Zea mays: one gene and its partners. The protein of the gene in region 3 binds, or shares a complex with, the protein of the main gene of each other region. Links are inferred from orthologs where the notes say so. Each region holds a gene or a part of one and is shown on either strand. Other genes may lie near its edges.

Region 1 (5,458 bases), on a different chromosome or scaffold from region 3:
TTGATAATATATCTTCTATTGGAAGTCGCATTCCAACTAGTGCCACTAGAGAACATCGAGGCGGAAATGTAAAAGGGTGAGGAACATAACAAGCCTCTTTCCCTTAGGCTTCTCGTTCCTGCCTTCGCCAGGGTACATTCTCATCATCTCATGCGATTGTCAAGAATCCCTCCCCTACAGCTCCTCCTGGCAAACACAAACGAGTATGATATGAGATATAGATGGTAACATCATCAGGGTCAATACATGGGCACATATACTAGCACAATTTCTAGCAGATCATGCATTCAGTGGGTTCCACAATCAAGCATACAACTTAAAAATATAAGAGACAGACCTTAATATTATCTACAATGAGTGGGGTCTGGGGAAGGAATAATCGAGGCAAGACTTACCCCTACAAAGACCATTAACATGGGGGACAGGAAGTAAAGTCGAAGGCAGTATTGAATGAGTAATAGTAATATTCTCCCCATACCTAAAGTATCATCGTCTAACTCTAAGCTTGCACCGGAATTCTGCTAGGAGCGCTATATGATCCGATGACCATTCAGGAGAAGGAAGAGCCGTGTCTTTTCTCAAGCTATCCTCATCCAACAGCTCCAATAATGACTCTACAGTCAATGAATCCGCTGAAATAGAAGAGCACATTGTAAAAGACAATGTTAACACAATATCTACTTATTCCAGATCAACAGAGATAGCCAAACTAAAAGGAAAAGAGATAGCGCAAGCGGCCAAGCGCTTGAACCAAAGTAAAGGGAAGAGATAGAGCAAGCGCTTGAACCAGTCCAAGAATTTAAGCACTAACCTGTGTAAAATATGTAATCTAGGGTACCGGTAAAATCCCTTGTGCAATTTGTGAACAATGGCTCATTTGTCCCAGGGTCCATCCTCCTTCGCTGGTGATCCAAATCATAGCCAACACCAGCCATACTCACGAATGATGAGTATGCACTGACCTACGAACAAGCAAAAACTTTATTAAGAGCCACAACAAGAATAAAAAAAGGAAACCGATAGGTAATATCCATGATAAATTGAACGTACCAGAGGAAGCTGGTGTGTCAGCTTGCTTAGTGGGCGCAAAATTCCAAGAGGATCTATTGCTAGATCTGGATGCAAATGATCAACTTTGCCCCTTGCAAGAAGCCCATGTGACGTACTACATGAACCACATGATTGTTTACCATTTGGTAGAAATATTCAAACTGAAAGACAATAACTCTAAATCTCTAACACAAACAAAAAAGAAGGGCTGCTAAATCTAACAAACCTTCCAGGAGTTGAATTAAAATCTCCACAGACCAACATTGGAATGTCTGCACTAACAGCTATTTTTTCCAACCCTTTTAGGAGGGTATGAATCTGCAAGAGTTTGCAAGCCATGAGATTCATCAGTTAAAGAAATTATAAAATGTTATGAAATTATACAGAGGGAGGGGGAAGTATTTGAACCTGCCATAGCTTCACATCTTTAAGGTCATGGTGGATATTTATATGTGTATTAGCCTGCACAAAAAATCAAGAAACATGAGATCCACAAGGAATAACATATTACTATCTCCAGTCTAAAACAGATGCCTCCTACAGCAGACATAGCCAAACTTTAGAAACTTTGACCACCATTATCCGTAAAGCGTAAAATTGATACAAATAGACCACCATCGAAGTTACTTCTTTATCGTAATAAAATTATTGAATTTCGCTAGCACATACTTTGACCAGAGATCATATTTATATCCGATACAACAAGTAAATATAAACATAGGTGGTATAAGACCCACACAATAAAACAAGATCAATTGCTATATTCAAAAACCCAACAAAAAGAATTAGAGGGACAATTGGCATGATCTAGTCAAAAGAGCTCTACTGTTCAGTGAAATCGTTTTCTTGTCACTTCTGCCATGTAAAAACATGGTTGGCCACCTTCCAGAATAAAAAGCATAGAGGACCAGTTTACCTGTCTTCCAAGTTCCAATATCTTTTTTATTCCCCTAACTATTACCATTATCCCCATGTCTAGCAAAGCAGTTCAGTCTGACCTGATCATTGCATGGATCTAGCTAAATCGTGTCATTTATATTCATTCTAAGGATCCCGCATCTAGGGTAGCTTATTAAAAAGATGGCAAGCAAATTATGGCCAATGAACACTGGCCTAACCATAATAAATTCCAAATGAACATCAACATCAACATCAACATAGCCTTTTAGTCCCAAGCAAGTTGGGGTAGGCTAAAGTTGAAACCCAGCAAGAAGTCACCAAAAAGAAAGAAAGAGAAAGGGAGGGGGAAAGCTTTTGAGAGAACTAAAATGGAAAAGGCCTAATCACGGTTCAGGCACGTGGATAGCTTATTTCCAAGCCCTTCTATCCAAACACAACTCCTTTGCGATATTCCATTTCTTCAAGTCCCTTTCGATTGCCTCCCCCCATGTCAAGTTTGGCCACCCTATACCTCTCTTCATATTAGTGTCATGTCTTATGATGCCTCTGTGCACCGGTGACTTTGTGGGTCTCTGGTGGACATGCCCAAACCATCTCAATCGGTGTTCAATAAGTTTTTCTTCAATTGGCGCTACTCATAGCCGATCGCGAATGTCATCATTTCTCACTCGGTCCAATCTTGTGTGCCCACATATCCAACGCAACATATGCATCTCTGGCTCTCTGCGACACATAGTTGTTAAATATGACATCCTTAGTACTTAGTAGCCCAACACTCAACCCCATATAACATAGCAGGCCTAATCGTGTCCTGTATAACTTGCCTTTCAGCTTTTGTAGCACTCTCTTATCACATAGGACTCTCGATGCTTGACACCATTTCGTCCACCCTGCTTTGATCCTATGGCTAACATCTTCATCAATATCACTAAATTCCAAATGAACAAGTGATAAAAAAATAGAAGTGCCAAATTTATGTGGCATGAGAGTGAATCCTTGATGAGAAAAAAGAAAGCATTCTCATGGGTAAAGATACCATCAAGTACTCACAACAACAAAAAATAACAACAAAACCTAAAGAACTCAAAACCAAAAGATATCAAATAACTAGTTGTACCTAATGATACTCAGCATTTCCATGGGTTATTATGAATATAGATAACATGCAAATAGATCCCTGACATAGCAAGAGCACCACAAGTTAAAAAAAAATGACTGATCCGGTGTTCTATTTTATTTTTCTAACCATGAGAGACTCATATTAGTGCTCTAGTGTTCATTAACCGGACCTGAAAAGGTTGCATTAAATGACATCCTTATTCTAGCCACATGTTTTCAGCATAGCTGTTCTCACCAGACTCATGGAAGTGATTTTGATTATATTAAAAACAGCACAGAGATGATATTACCGATGCTAATATGCGATAGTAAGGAAGCACTTACCACACAGAGAAGTTGCCTTTTACTAGGGTTTTCAGTTCCATGGTTACTAAATTTAGCTTCTAAAACTGCAATTAGCGCAATATTATCCTGCATGGCAGATAGAGATTGTAATAGATGTAAGGTAATGATCGACCATGTAGCACTTATGGTATATTTGTAGTTCCCATATTGGTTGCACCTTAACCAAACGATTTAGAGCTAACTTTTTTTGAGCGGCAGGAATAATTGCATCAGTTAAAGACTGTGCAGCCTTATTGAACTCGACCTGCATATAACAAAGTCCAGAAAGCATTAGATGCTGATAGTATCAAGTCAACTCTCAAACACTGCAGGAAAAAGAAGGCACTGACCTCATATTTTTTGACATGCGAAAATCTGTCCCGACGAAAGAAAGTAGCGCAACCATCAATTGCTTGAGGACTTCCGCTGTACACCTGTGACAGCAATATTCCAAATTACGCACTACACCATACCAAGGTTTTACAGCAAGCAGTAAAGAACCAAACAAACCTCTGTCGTCCTTTTCTTATATAGAGGTTGGTACCCATGTTTATCAAGCTCCGGTGAAAAAAAATCTTCAAAGTGATTACTTTGTACCTGCAAATAGTAACATATAGATCACCTTTAGAAGCATAGAAATGGCATGGTTTTTCTTTTATACTGATTCTTACAAAATAAAGACTCCTTCCTCTCTGAGACATTGATCATATGAGAAAGGGAATAATTTCAGGTGTCACTTATGTTTTATGCTTCATGAGTTTAAGGGGGGATGCAGCACAATCAAGAAACAACAATCAAACAATTTAAGGACTCCAGAAGGCAGATAAAAAAGTTATGATAGTACTTCTCATTCAACAGAAAGGTGCTGGGAAACTATCCTGCCTCGGGCAGTCGGGCTAATGAAGAAATCACATTAACATTATTTTTATAACTACAATTTAGTTACTCAGAATTAACAGAAGACCAAAGGATGGTGTCATGAAGCAATGGAGCAATCTCAATGTATCACAGATTGACAGGAACATAACAACATCAATAGTAATTTCTTAAACTCATCATGCTGAACATAATAAGTGCAATTTATTAACAATTAAAGATGCAAATCAGAGCCTTAAACTTCAAACATGAAAAACAATAGCATTCATACCTCCTGAAGGCAGATAATATCAGCATGGTAACCAATAATTTCACGCAACAAATTTTGCCTTCTATAAGCCCATGTAAGTGCCCAAGTTGGACAATAGCTGTATGTATCACTTGTTGCATATGTATCAGCAAGAATATTGTAGGACAGCACAGTAAATGTCCCAAAAGAAGAAGTCCGGCTATCTAAATCGAAGTGGACCATTGCATCAGCTGCATTAACAGGGATCAAGCGGCGTGGTGTCGGGGTCGGTGCTGGGATTACACGGGATGTCATGACTGAAGTAGGAGCTCTCACAGTCCCCCGTGTTTCCACATCCACAACTATACATTCAAATCTTAGCACATGTCCAATATCATCAGTAGTTGCCGTATATGTTCGTGACCATCCCACTTCAAACCAAGTTTCACCAGAACTCTTCTCAGTGCCTGTTGGATACACAGGTGTAGGTCCATTATTAACACCTGAGCTCAGTGAAAGGTTTGATGTTGAACCAGACAACGCAGCACTAATAACCCCTGAGCTCGAACTGCCGCTACCAAATCTGCCAAACAACTCATCATCTTCGGTTCCGTTTTCATTTAAAGCACTTATAGCACGGTCATGCAAAACCTTGTGGTGTTGCCAAGCATCGGAGAAGCACTTAGAAGAACAATGGTAGCTCTTAGCAACAGGTATTTTTGACTTCAGACACCCTATGCACTGAAGTGTTGCTTGTTCTGTTGGGTGTACACTGCAGATAGCAGCTCTACGATCACTTTGTATGCGGTACCTTCAAGAAAGGAAGATCAATATTCAGGATTTCATCGGTATTCTTGCCTTAAAAAAGTTCGAATCTGACACCCTATACCAGTTGTTTTTAACATGTTCAGCATGTATATTCATTTCTAGACAATATTCAAGCATCATATGACACTTTGC
Region 2 (6,764 bases), on a different chromosome or scaffold from region 3:
ATTAATAGACTTGAGTACTGGGCCAGGTCCATTACAGAGGGGCGAGACAGTAATTACACAGGGAAAAACCCCAAACCCTAAACGGGTATTCTAACACCCCCCGCAGTCACAACTCTATCCTGTACAGATGTTGAGACTGGAGCGAAAGTCTAAAAATACACTCGACGGTAACCCCTTGGTGAAGATGTCAGCGAATTGCAGCGTGGTGGGGACGCTGAGAACCCGAACGTCACCGGCAGCGACACGCTCGCGGACGAAGTGCAGGTCAATCTCCACGTGCTTCGTGCGCTGATGCTGCACGGGATTGGTGGAGAGGTAGACCGCGCTGACGTTGTCGCAGTAGACGAGGGTGGCGCGCTGAAGGGGACTGTGGAGCTCGTGGAGGAGTTGTCGTAGCCAGGAGGCCTCTGCCACGCTGTTGGCCACGGCGCGGTACTCGGCCTCAGCGCTGGAGCGAGAGACGACGGGCTGCCGTTTGGCGGCCCAAGAGACGAGGTTGGCGCCCATGAACACGGCGTAACCAGAGGTGGACCGGCGCGTGTCGGGACAGCCAGCCCAGTCAGCGTCGGTGTAGACCACGAGTTCCGACGTCGGGGATGGTCGCAATAGGAGGCCATAGTCGAGGGAGCCGCGGAGGTAGCGCAGTATCCGCTTGAGAGCGGTGAGGTGGGGCTCCCGCGGAGTGTGCATATGTAGGCACACTTGCTGGACGGCGTAGGCGATGTCGGGCCTGGAGAAGGTGAAGTACTGGAGCGCGCCGGTCAGGCTCCGATAGGACGTCGCGTCAGCGACCGGAGGCCCGTCGACCTCAGAGAGCTTTGCCTGAGTGTCGACAGGCGTGGAGCAGGGCTTGCAGTCAGACATGCCAGCCCGCTCCAGGATGTCGATGGCGTACTGGAGCTGGTGGAGGAAGAGACCCTGAGGCCGGCGCTCGGCGGTGATGCCGAGGAAGTGGTGGAGGGGCCCCAGGTCCTTCATCGCGAACTCCCGCTGAAGGGCGACGATCGTGCGCTGTAGAAGGTCGGCGGTGGATGCCGTGAGCACAATGTCGTCGACGTAGAGTAGGAGGTAGACGGTGTCGTCGCCACGCCGGTAGATGAACAGGGACGTGTCCGACTTGGCCTCGACGAAGCCGATGGAGGCCAAGTAGGAGACGAAGCGACTGTACCATGCCCGCGGCGCCTGCTTGAGGCCGTACAGGGATCGGTTCAGCCGGTAGACCAGATCCGGACGATTGGCGTCGACGAAGCCGGTGGGCTGGCTGCAGTAAACAGTCTCCGTCAGAGTGCCATGGAGGAAGGCATTCTTGACGTCAAGCTGATGGATCGCCCAATCGTGGGAGAGGGCGAGGGAGAGGACGGCGCGGACAGTGGCGAATTTGACGACGGGGCTGAAGGTCTCGTCGTAGTCTACTCCGGGGCGCTGGGTGAAGCCCCGAAGGACCCAACGGGCCTTGTAGCGGTCGAGGGAGCCATCCAAGGTCAGCTTGTGGCGAAATAGCCACTTGCCGGTGACCACGTTGGTGTCTGGTGGACACGGCACCAGGTCCCAGGTGTGGTTGGCCAAGAGGGCTGCGTACTCCTCCTCCATAGCACGACGCCAATGTGGGTCGGCGAGGGCAGCGCGAACGGAGGAGGGCACAGGGGATGCGTCCGGAGGAGTGCAGGTCGTATCCGCTGCCAGGATCAGCCGGTCGACGGGGCGAAGAACGCCAGCAACGCTTGTTGCAGGACAACAGCTTGTGGGTGAACCTGACCACGTCGAGGCGGATCGGCGCCCCGAAGACGGGCGGTAAGGCGATGCCGGGGGCGTCGGTTACCATGTCGCCCTCTAGGTCCTTCACGGAGACGAGGGGGCGGTTGACGGCGACCATGGCGGCGGCGGCTAGGGTTTGGGCGGCGCGGCGGTGGTGCGAATGGGGTTGGCAGTGCCCGAGAGGGAGATGGGGGCTAGAAAAAATTAAGTTGCCTCTGATACCATGTTGGAATGTGAACCCTAACCCTAACAGGGGTTGGGTGGTGTATTAATAGACTTGAGTACTGGGTCATGCCCATTACAGAGGGGCGAGACAGTAATTACACAGGGAAAACCCCCAAACCCTAAACGGGTATTCTAACAGCTACGTCCATAAGTCCATTCATTATAAGATAGTTTTGCATCCCATGCGGTCCATACATGTCCAAAAAGAAGTAATACACCCAATAATTGGATTTTTATATTAAAAATGACCTCACAGAATCATCTCTACGATGGTTCTAACTATACTTTGTATTACAATAGATAGAAATAATAGCTAAAGCACGAAATGATGTTCTTACAAGTCAATAAGCTTCAGGAAGCAATGAAATAAATGCAAGGCATACCTTGTCACCAGGTGTCGAATTGAAGTCACCAGCAATGATCACTGAAGGTTTACAATTATATTTATTTGAGATGAGTTGCTCAAACTGAGATACTCTCGAAAGAAGATATTTTGCCTGAGCCAACTTTACATCGATCCATTGTGGGTCCCTACAGAGTTATGCATCAAACAAAAATTTATACATTTGCTGGACAACTGCCAAACAATGTAGCTGAGACTAAAAACAACAAAAATGTGCAGGGAATTGTGAAAGCAAATTCCAAAGAGAGTAAAATTCTGTTTCACTTGCCAATAAATATGTGTGTTTGCCACAATCAAAATTTGATCACAAGGATCACTAAGCTTGAAAGCCGCGAGTAAACCAACACAGTCCCGCTTCAATCTAACGCGTGGATCATTTGGATCTCCACGCTTGCTATTATCTGGCTTTGCATTCTTGTCTGGAAAAAAGAGAGAAAACATCATGAAGTATTGACGTCAAGCATCAGACCAGGCAAGAGATAAATCCAAAGTACAGGAAATAGCAACAGTATGAGGTTAGAGGAGTTTGCTAACTCGTTAGACACTGATATATAATGCATCTCCGGCAATAGATTTATTAAGCATTAAGAACAAAACAAAACAAAAAATAGCCCACTCCAATATATAGCTTGTAAATAGCATTTTTAGCCCAGATTACAAGTTTAAAGATTCATGGCGGAGCACCCCACTACAAGGTCGTTAGGATCAGGATACTAGGCACTATCGTTTTTTGGCTGACAGTATTAGATCGTAGGATCATATCGTAGTATTGGGATACTATCAGATGTCACAAACTATATATTTTATGTAAAATTTGTAATATGCTATATAGAATATAGATTGAACAACTATAATATTAATTTTGATTAACTTGTTTCACTGTTTATATATTTAAGCGCAATTCTTAACATTATTTTAACACCTCTTAACTTTAAATAATACTTTACCATAGACAAAACTAAATCATTTAAAAAGTAATTTATATCAACTACTATGTGGTATTGTAGGATCATAGTATCGGGATGCTATGAATTTTTATGTAGAATCATATGGAGCCTTTAGGTAGGATCAGGATACTATGAATTTTTTATGTAGAATCATAGGATCAGGAATTTGGGATACTATGAAATTGAAGATACTCAGTAGGATCGGTATCATTTTGACCCGGGAGGATCGGTATCATTCCAACACGGTAGAATATAATTATATAATATCCTAAAATACTAGGATACGGATAGGGATACTGATATCCTTGCACCATTGTGATTTACAGATATTATTATAGTATGAATGTATGATACAAGTCCAATTACCTTCTTCTGCTGAAGAATTATTTTCCAGAGCACTATTTACATTATCACTAGGAACATATTTTTCTACTAAATCATTGTACAGTATTACTTCTTTCTGCACCAGTTCTGCACTGCAAAGGTAAGAGAGATTCAAAGAAAAATGATGAGGTAAAAATACTTTTGCAATACACATAAAGAAGCTAAGTCCCAGAAGACCCAACATGTTCCATGTTCAACTTTCTAGATCACTGATGATTTATTTAAAAGAAATTGTTCCCAAACTGAAGACACGTAGTTATTAATGATCACTTTCCATGAAATCGTCCATAGTACATTGGATGCAAGAGAACACATATTTTGATGGGTGAGGTTAAATGTTACTTTTTTCCTCAGATCAGTAGCTGTTATGACATGTTCAAGGGAAAACATTAATACCTTTTAGGTTTATAGAATATACCACAGCCATCTCGTTTGTCTCCAGATCGCTGAATGTAAATACTTGAATATCCAGAGTTTTCCATGTTTTTCTTATAGAAGGTATCATATTCATCCAACTCCTGCGCAGGTCACATGAATTATATATTGCTTACAATTATTAACCAGAAGAAAATCATTCCACACAAAAGAGACTGACCATTGATAGTAGGTATACCAGCATCCCAATAAACTTGTTTGTGAACAAATAGGACAACGATAATTTTGAACTACATGTGATAGCTGAAATCTAGTTGGGCAAAATCCAAATCCAGTTTCTGACAGGAAAGTAAAATTAAGACATACTAGCCCAACATTACATTGCCATGTCATGCATGCCATCTAGTGAGATTGTTAGGATGGAATTGTTCCATAAGATAAAAAAAGAAATAAACACCATTACTACTCCATATTGCAACCCCTTGCCTCATTATCAGCATAAGCACAAGTATCATACCATAAGCTCCTGGGTGCCAAGGAACAGAAGAAGCAGCTGTGGACAGAGGACAAAGACAGGAAAGGTAGCAATATAGAGAGGGCTCAGAGGACAGGAAGAGAAGTGGATTTCTCCTTTTTTGGACAAGATGGCACGAAGTAGGATGTGACTCATAAACTTGACCAACACTGCCACAACAGCACAATCTGTTGGATTTCTTCATATTCATTGGCAAAATTTTGTGGTGCTACAACACCCTAGATAATAAGAATAAAATTTGAACTGAAAAGACAACATATTCTGTAATGTAACCAAAGTAATAATAAACACTGCAGAACTTTATATAAGACAACCTGTATGCACATGAAGTCAGCATCAAAGCTCTTTAGTTCTGTAAGAATAGCTCCCGATCGAGATTTCCACCTATTTTGCAAACATGAAATAGGAACATAAGTTAGGGGCCATGTTGTCAATATCTGTTGTGAAAATTAAATAGTATAACAGTACTCCCTTCGTTCCAAATTGGAAGTCGTTTTGGCTCTCTTAGACACAGATTTTACAATGAATCTAAACATAACTTATGTCTAGGTACATAGCAAAAGATATATATATATATATGCATCTAGAAAAGCCAGAATGACTTACAATCCGGAATCCGAGGGAGTATATTACTACTTTTTAGAAGTCTAAAAGTTGTATTGCTGAGCAAACATGTCATCAAGTTTGATTAGGATCTGCTGGGTAACCCATCATTCATGGAACCAAATTTGTATAATTCAATATCACTTGGTTCCACTTATGAAGCCTAGTTCAAGTAAGTCACATGAAAATAGTTAGATAAGGAAATTCCAAAGATTTCTTACTTTCTCAGACACCATGACTATACAGCATTAGAACCTTAAGTACCATGACTATAAGGAAAGTCCAATAAACAGCGTTTTCGAGAGAGAAAATCCAATACACAACACAAACAACTGATCAATCAAGGGCTTACTTGAGGCACGCAGATGGGGAATGAGGAAAAAGCGTACTCTTAACATAAACCTGCAGCACAGAGCAAACTATTAGGCACCGTTGGCCGCCAATGATCCACACGGATGGTCCCACCGACAGAGATGGCATAATAACATAGAGCCAAAACGGGGAGAGAGTGGCAAAATAGCAAATTTCTCGCTAGAAAGCTAAGAAAAAAAAACAGACACACCTGGGCCAAGATGTTGTAAGAGACCAGCCGGAACTGGTACCGTGCAGCCCCTGGAAGCCAAAACCCAAAACGAATATTAGCATCGACCACACAGAAATTCCACTGTTGCAAGTGTCAGTGATTAGTTTCCTTAAGATTTCAGGGCTGACGAGGACTGACCGCCATCTGTTTGGGATTCAGTTTGCTCCGTAGGGAGAGGGGCAAACCTGGGATGCGCCAGCGTGCTCATCCGCCGCTTGCAGACCCTAATTTTGCGTATCCAGTGAAGCGTTAGAACGAAGAGTGCAAGAGAGGAAACAAGGGACAGGGTTAGGGGTGGGAATGCCCTCACGGGACAAAGGAGAGCGGCCGGTCACCGGCAGGAGATGGACTGGCCGCGGTTCTCGAGCAGCGGCGGATGAGAAGGAGAGGGAGGGAAGCTGTCCACGACGTCTGTGGCTTTAGCATCGGTGGCGCCCTTTGCGGTGAGTTATTTGTGATTATAATCATTTCGTCGCGCGGCTTCGCCTCTTTGGTATCCCGCAGCACGTCATCGCCATATTGGTATTACTGTCGTATACCACTCGCTGGATTGGGTTCGTTTTCATACGGCTGACTAATTTACCCTTCCTTTTCACCCAGTCCGGTCGCAACGACGACGAGCCTCGTCGATCTCCAGCCATGGATGAAGACGTCGCGATAGCGCCTGAGCACGAGGAGCGCGCGCCCGGAGCTCCAGCGTCACCTCGGCCCGTGGCGACATCTCCAGGGCGGCCGTGACCAGGCTGAGTGCCGCCGCCGCCGCATCGTCGGTGTCCTGCGCGGCCGACGGGAGGTTGATGGTAACCGGAGAATGTCCGTGCCCTCTTGTTCAGAGCTCCACAGCACCACCGAAGCAACGAGAGGGGCAAAGCTTGGGGACGATGCGGCGGCGAATCGAGGAACCGTTGGGCAAGTTGAGCGAACCGTGGCTGTGGAAGGAAGCATCATCGTTGA
Region 3 (6,764 bases):
TACGAGCGTGAGCTCATCGGCTTGGTCAAGGCGATTCGTCATACATTTGGGGATAGCCTTTTACGGCTCGTACTGATCACTATAGTTTAAAGTATATTTTGGATCAACGCCTCTCCACCATTCCTTAGCACACATGGGTGAGCAAGCTCTTCGGATATGACATTATCGTCGAGTACAAGCCGGGGAAGATGAATGGGGCGGTCGATGCGCTGTCTCGGCGTGACGAGGAGGTGGTGGCCTCCCTCCACACCATCTCCTCGCCCTCCTTCGAGCTCTTCGAAGCGCTGCGGACCGAGCTCCTCACCAACCAGCAGGCTGCGACATTACGCTAGCAGATAGCCGATGGCTCTGCTCCAGCCGGTTGGACTGGGGTGGATGGCCTCCTCACCTTCGACGGTCGCGTCTATGTGCCAGATGTGTCGCCAATTTGGTCACAACTGTTGGCGTACGTCCACGACAACAACCATGAAGGTATCCAAAAGACGGTCAACCGCTGGCGCGCCTCCTTCCACAACCCCGGCGTGTTGCAGCGCATCCGCGATTATGTGCACGGGTGTACCAATTGCCAGAAGAACAAGACCGATCATCTACATCTCGTCGATCTTCTTCAGCCCCTAACCGTCCCTTCGGAGGTTTGGAGCGACATTTCCGTGGATTTTGCGGAAGGTTTTCCACGTGCTGGTGGCAAGACGGTGGTCCTTACTATGGTGGACAGATTCTCGAAGTATGCACACTTCATCGCTATTCGCCGCCCATACACGACATCGTCCGTGGCCAGGGCCTTCTTCGACGACATCGTCCGCTTACATGGGCTCCCCTGCTCAATCGTCAGCGACCACGACACAATCTTTACCAGTCTTTTCTAGACTGAATTGTTCAAGTTGGCCGGTGTCAAACTAAACATGAGCTCAGCATTCCACCCACAGTCCGACGGTCAATCCGAAGTGGTAAATCGGGTCATCACCATGTATTTGAGGTGTCTTGCAGGAGACCGACTGAAGTCCTGGCTGCAGTGGTTGCCATGGGCCGAATATTGCTACAATACTTCATACCAAACATCCATCAAGTGCTCGCCATTCCGTGTCCTCTATGGCCTGGAGCCGCCAACCCTGTTGTCCTATCAGTCAGGCTCCACTAAGGTAGCAGCACTGGACCACTAGCTGCAGGACCGCGAAAATTCTTGTTGGAAATCCGGGAGCGTCTTCTTGAGGCACAAATCACCATGAAAGCTTACCAGGAAACGTCGCCAGGTGGAGTTCCAAGTCGGCGGTTGGGTGTGGCTTCGCCTACAGCAGCGCAGTCGGACTAACTTTAGCTGCTCCCTCAAAACTTGGGCCAAAGTACTATGGTCCATACCAGGTCCTCCTTCGGGTAGGGTTGGTCTCATACAAGCTGCATTTGCCACCTCGTGCTCGCATACACGATGTCTTCCATGTTTCCTTGCTGAAGAAATTTGAAGGGGAGGCACCACCACAAGTGGTACCATTACCTGTGATCTTGCATGGTCGTGTTCTACCAACACCATCCAAGGTGGTACGTGCCAGACTCAACAGAGGTGTGTGGGAATTGTTGGTTCAGTGGTCTGGTCGTGCTGAGACAGATGCTTCCTGGGAACCACTCGAAGAATTCAAGCAGAGGTATCCAGAGTTCGAGCTCGCGGAAGAGTTCTTTGTTGGGATGGAGGGAAATGTTGTGGGCCAGTTTGTAGGCCGCCAATATCAAAGGCGCACAAGGCCAGCAGCAGGTGTAGGAAAGGAAGGAGCCAACGCAAGAAAGCAATAAGAGGATAGAAGGAAGGTTTTGATTGAATAAATCAATTCCTCCAATCAATGGCTGAGTTGTTAGGAAGCTAAATCAGTTCCTCCAATCAAGGGTTGAGTTGTTAGGAAGTTTAGATTTGATATTTCTATTTCCAAATATCTAGGATAAATAATAGGAAAGGTTTGGTGGCTCATAATCTATAAAGCCAGCCAATAGTTTGTACTAGAGAATCATCGAAGAAGTTAATCCTTAGTGGACAGATACTTCGGTCACCCTGGCTGATCCAGCCAGCCGTGACACTAGCTGCCCCCTTACCCCCATACCCCCTGCGTTCCATTCCCCAAGCCCATCTCCTTTTCCACTCACCGTTGAAGAGTCCCAGGCGCCGGCGCCATATCAACGGATCATTTAAAGTAACCTGCTGCGAAGATGGTGAACTATTTGAAGTTTCTGGAAGCTGGTCTTCCTCTTCAAGTAAGTGACCATTACCACCAGACAACTCCTCAAAGAAGGGTCAGAATTAACATCTTCTTAGGTAACTTCATCCGTTGTTGTATCATCCTCAAAAGCAGAAGCATTGTTTTCAGGCTCATTTCTACAAGAGATTGAATGCCTCTTTATCACTTCGGCCGAACATTGATTGACACAGGCATCTAAAGCAGCATCATTTGGTTGATGTACTGGTTCTTCTACTCCACTACTACTCTCTCCTAGCTTCACAGTGTTCATCTGGTGAATGGCATCAGCGACATTCTTAGAAGTTAGAACCATTGAAATGAGATGACTCTGGTTCATTAGCTGCACAATTCTCTTCAGCAGACAACATGGAATCGATGGTATTTTCCTTTTCCTGAGGCTTATCTTGTGGGACAGTAAACAGTTGATCTGTAAGTTCTTCTGAAATCACATCACCAGCCAAGTTGTCTGAAGAAAGCAGCTGGATCCTATCAATTATTTTACATGAACCTGACCTAAGGATATCAGTACAGATAGCTGGAGCAGATGGCGCATCTGTAATGTCATGTCCTTCTCCAGATTCAGTTTTGATCCGTCCAGGAGACCCTTCGCTGGATTTGTCAGCAGGTTTACACTCTTCATCAGCATCAGAAGTACAGGCACCCTTTACAGGATCTTCCAACAAGTTCGATAATCCTTGCTTGTCAAGCTTAGAAGTGCAACTTGATTTGGAGTCAAAGACAGACTCTGAAGAGGTGTCAGTTAAAACAGGTTCTCTCCTGGCAGGGGAAGAATTCTCCACCAACTTTGTGGTTTCCGTTTGAGGCTTAGAATCATTTATAAGAGTTATGTTTCCCACTTTATTGTTGGTTGCATAAAAAGGTGGATGAGATCTGTCACAAATAGAAAGCAACCAATGAATCTGTTATGGTCGCTAGATCGGTGAGGGATTGGAGAGGGGTATCGATGGGCAGGAATGTCGGCCAGGGGTCTCTGTCCACGGCCGAGCAAGAGAAGGGAGCTCTCCCTTCTAATTCTTACCTACTTTATTTCTCATCCATTCATTACATAAATAGGCCAGCTGGCCGCCTCTATCTAGCTAGAGATCCTTATCTCCCTAAAACTCTCCTAAAAACTCTCAACTACTAACTAATAACCTTCCTAGATAATCTTAACTAATCTCCTAAATAATCTCAACTAATCTTCTAATCTTATCTCTAACTATCCTTATCTAATCCCCTTTAGAGGGCCCATGGTTGCTGCTGTCGCAGCCCCTCCATGGGCCTTCTTAGGCCATGACACTACCCCCTTGACAAGCAGCTCGTCCTCGAGCTGCAGCATCCAACAAACGACCTGTAATGACCTAACATATCACCAAAAATGAACCTTTTACATCTCGGCTCATCTTTTAATTATTCTAGATATACTGCAACTGCAAGCATCATCATGTGTCCCAAGAAAATGTTGCACATTAAAGAGAAGGGCGCGAGCTGGAACCGCGGAGGTAAAGACACAGCAGCCTTCGAAGGCGGGCCCGTGGAGGCCGACGTTGGTGCTGTCCCCTCGTACGAAGGAGAGTAGTCGTGGTAGTTGCCCGGTCTCCGCAGATGAGGGCCAACGCTGGACGAAGCGTTGTAGAGGGGTGTCATGTCTTGCAGCCTCTTGTATGCGGAGGTGAACAGCCACCACAATGCTCGGCCGCGCTGGTGCAGCTACGGCTCCCCCGCAATGGAGCACCCCATCACCTGCTTCACCCGCCGACACGCAAGGAAACCACGTGTTGCAGCCTGCAGGTGGATGGTCCCATCCACCCCCCCCCCCCAGTACCGGACGCCCGGTGGCTGCGCGCCGCCACAAGGCCCCAGGGCAGTAGTAGGCGCCGGCGCCGGCGGTACTGCTGTGGTGATCGGCGTTGTTGACGAGTAGATCGGCAGCGGATCTGATCCCAACGCCCATGTCGGAATTTGAGATGACGATCGCGGAAAGTGCAGCTGGTGGATCGATACGCTCGGCGGCTGGAAGGACGCTGGGGTGGCTGTTAGGGCCAGCTGTGACAATGACGACTGAGCTGCTACGGCCTCGGATGGCGAAGGTAGGGACGACGGCGGCTGGGAGCCCATCATGACGGCCTTCATCACGGCTACGTCAGACTGCAGCGCCATCATCTGGGCTTGTATGGCTCCCAGATTGTTGGAGAAGTGGAGAAGGAACGTCGCCAGTTGCTCGTTTGTCATCGTGGGAAGGTTGGTGGAGATACCGACGGTGGAATTGCCGAGCGCGGTGGAGGTGGGTAGCGCCGGCGGTGGATGCAAGCGGCAGTGTGCGCGGCTGGGAGGTGAGCGGCAGGGTGGCGGGTGGTGCTGGTGGAGAGGAGCTCATGGTGGCCGGAGGATCGTAGGTCGCTGATACCAAATGATATGGTCGCTAGATCGGTGAGGAATTGGAGGGGTATTGATGGGCAGGAACGTCGGCCGAGAGCCTCTGCCCACGGCCGAGCAAGGAGGGTTTCTCCCTTCTAATTTTTGACTACTTTATTTCTCATCCATTCATTACATAAATAGGACAGTTGTCCGCCCCTATCTAGGTAGAGATCCTTATCTCCTTAAAACTCTTCTAAAAACTCTCAACTACTAACTGATAACCTTCCTAGATAATCTCAACTAATCTCCTAAGTAATCTCAACTAATCTTCTAATCTTATCTATAACCATCCTTATCTAATCCCCCTTGGAGGGCCCATGGTTGCTGCTGCCGCAGCACTATTGCTGCCGCAGCCCCTCCGTGGGCCTCCTTAGGCCTCCTTAGGCCCTGACAGAATCACACATCTATAAAACATTAGAAAAAGACAGGTTACAGTGTAGGAAGAGATTGGCCAAAAACAAATAGTAAACAATTTCAAAAGGCAGAAGATTCACCCAGATATATTAGGGCCAGTATATAGCCCCTGTGAACTACCACCAATTTGCTGTCCAGATATAGTATTTCTCGCAAGGCCAGACAAATTCAACTGCACATTTTGGAAGCTTTATTAGGTTTCAACCCCATGAAATCAGCGACACTAATGGATTGAAGAGAAAAAACACTACCTTTTGCCCCAACATAAAATTATACAATGGACTCTGAATAAGAAAGAAATGAGATAAAAGTTAAATACTTGTCTATGTTAATCATTACCTAGACAAAAACAGTAAATTACCATGTAATCTCAAATAGATAAATAGAGACCCATACAAGAACATTACCTTGGGTGTAGAGTTAAAATCTCCACAAACTATCACTGGAGCATCATTCCACATCTTAGATAGAGCGTTAGCTTTATCCAGAAGTGTCCTGACCTGTAGGACCATAAAATCAGAAAGCAGAAATGCAATATTAAGGTGCTTAGCAAATGATCAAGAATACAGAGAAAGAAGAAAAGACACTACACAGAACACAGAAATTATGCCAAGAAAGAATAAAGCATCACGTATCAACATATAAAATGTCTCTTTCATACAGAATAGCATATAATAAAAGATGTTAGATTGTTATGTGCTGCTTATGTGTATGGGACTAGAGCCCGGCCCATGTGGCCTGCTAGTGGGACGTAACCCTAGGCAAGGCTGGTTAGTTAATAAAGTGTAGCACTCTTCCAATTAATATAAGCCATCCATTTACACTCTTCCAATATGGTATCAGATAGTTAGCCCTAACTTGGCTGCCACCACCCTACCCCTGCCACCTAACCCCCTCTCGAGCACCACCATTGTTGGTCGGTCATCCCATGGTTGCGGCAACTTCTGGGGATGCTTTCTCTCCTCTTCACCCCCATCCTTCCTCGCTAGAGAGGCACGTGGGTTGGCATAGCCAGAGCCGCCCCGGCCCTCGTCGGGGTTGCGGCGGCGGCCGTGTCTCAGCCGCCGCCTGATACGCCCCCCAGGCGCCGCCTCCGGACGTCACCGGCGTGCCTCCCATAGGGATGGGCATGCTGACCACCTGGCCATTGATTTTCAGGCTCGCGTTGTGCCTATGCTCCACCTCTGCTGCCCCCTGCAGGCCACCACACGCTAGCCTAGGCGCGCCGCCGGCCTAAACCATCGATTTCGGCTCTACCCCAACCCCCTCTGCTGCATTTGGTGGCACTGCCACCAACTCGGACATCCATCCTCACCATGTCGTAGATGCGGCTCAATCCATCCTTGTCGCAATCCTCACTAAAAGAAACTAGAACCCCTTGTATTACATAGAGGATGGTTACATATATATAGACACAGGGAAACATTAACCGTAATGGATCGGCAGCCCAACAGTGGTGCCAGCCCACCTACACATACATATAGGAACACACACTTAATAGCGAGGGGATTCCTCCCCCATGGATCCCCTCCATTTCCCTGTCCACCAAACCAGCCCTAATGGGTCGGCAGCCCAACAGTGGTGCCAGCTCACCTACACATACATATAGGAACACACTCTAACACTCGCCTTCACTGACACCCTCCTTGTCTGATGTGATAGCTCCACCCTTGTACACCCAATGGCTTCTAGCTTCCACTACACCAACCGCTT

The links. Proteins that work in one complex are often made in the same cells at the same time.
Region 1: uncharacterized protein LOC100273526 (region 3) and CCR4-NOT transcription complex subunit 6 share a complex: the UniProt entries of both Arabidopsis thaliana proteins name them as parts of the CCR4-NOT complex. The link is inferred for Zea mays from reciprocal best matches to the Arabidopsis thaliana genes AT5G11350 and AT3G58580.
Region 2: uncharacterized protein LOC100273526 (region 3) and Carbon catabolite repressor protein 4 homolog 4 share a complex: the UniProt entries of both Arabidopsis thaliana proteins name them as parts of the CCR4-NOT complex. The link is inferred for Zea mays from reciprocal best matches to the Arabidopsis thaliana genes AT5G11350 and AT1G31500.

The regions. Positions count from the first base shown.
Region 1 is NC_050096.1:14,207,479-14,212,936, reverse strand, and holds part of CCR4-NOT transcription complex subunit 6, read right to left. Parts: intron 5,310-5,458; coding exon 4,541-5,309; intron 3,991-4,540; coding exon 3,904-3,990; intron 3,828-3,903; coding exon 3,744-3,827; intron 3,659-3,743; coding exon 3,572-3,658; intron 3,481-3,571; coding exon 3,394-3,480; intron 1,513-3,393; coding exon 1,459-1,512; intron 1,369-1,458; coding exon 1,277-1,368; intron 1,166-1,276; coding exon 1,051-1,165; intron 963-1,050; coding exon 812-962; intron 633-811; coding exon 487-632; 3' UTR 479-486; intron 187-478; 3' UTR 1-186. UniProt on the Arabidopsis thaliana protein: Acts as a catalytic component of the CCR4-NOT core complex, which in the nucleus seems to be a general transcription factor, and in the cytoplasm the major mRNA deadenylase involved in mRNA turnover.
Region 2 is NC_050101.1:154,486,286-154,493,049, forward strand, and holds part of Carbon catabolite repressor protein 4 homolog 4, read right to left. Parts: exon of another isoform or gene 6,412-6,764; intron 6,303-6,411; exon of another isoform or gene 6,279-6,302; coding exon of another isoform or gene 6,237-6,278; coding exon 6,121-6,236; intron 6,035-6,120; coding exon 5,949-6,034; intron 5,840-5,948; coding exon 5,790-5,839; intron 5,630-5,789; coding exon 5,580-5,629; intron 5,009-5,579; coding exon 4,939-5,008; intron 4,233-4,938; coding exon 4,111-4,232; intron 3,807-4,110; coding exon 3,697-3,806; intron 2,803-3,696; coding exon 2,652-2,802; intron 2,512-2,651; coding exon 2,364-2,511; intron 1-2,363. UniProt on the Arabidopsis thaliana protein: Acts as a catalytic component of the CCR4-NOT core complex, which in the nucleus seems to be a general transcription factor, and in the cytoplasm the major mRNA deadenylase involved in mRNA turnover.
Region 3 is NC_050098.1:230,201,261-230,208,024, forward strand, and holds part of uncharacterized protein LOC100273526, read right to left. Parts: intron 5,552-6,764; coding exon 5,459-5,551; intron 5,336-5,458; coding exon 5,303-5,335; intron 5,224-5,302; coding exon 5,132-5,223; intron 1-5,131. UniProt on the Arabidopsis thaliana protein: Acts as a catalytic component of the CCR4-NOT core complex, which in the nucleus seems to be a general transcription factor, and in the cytoplasm the major mRNA deadenylase involved in mRNA turnover.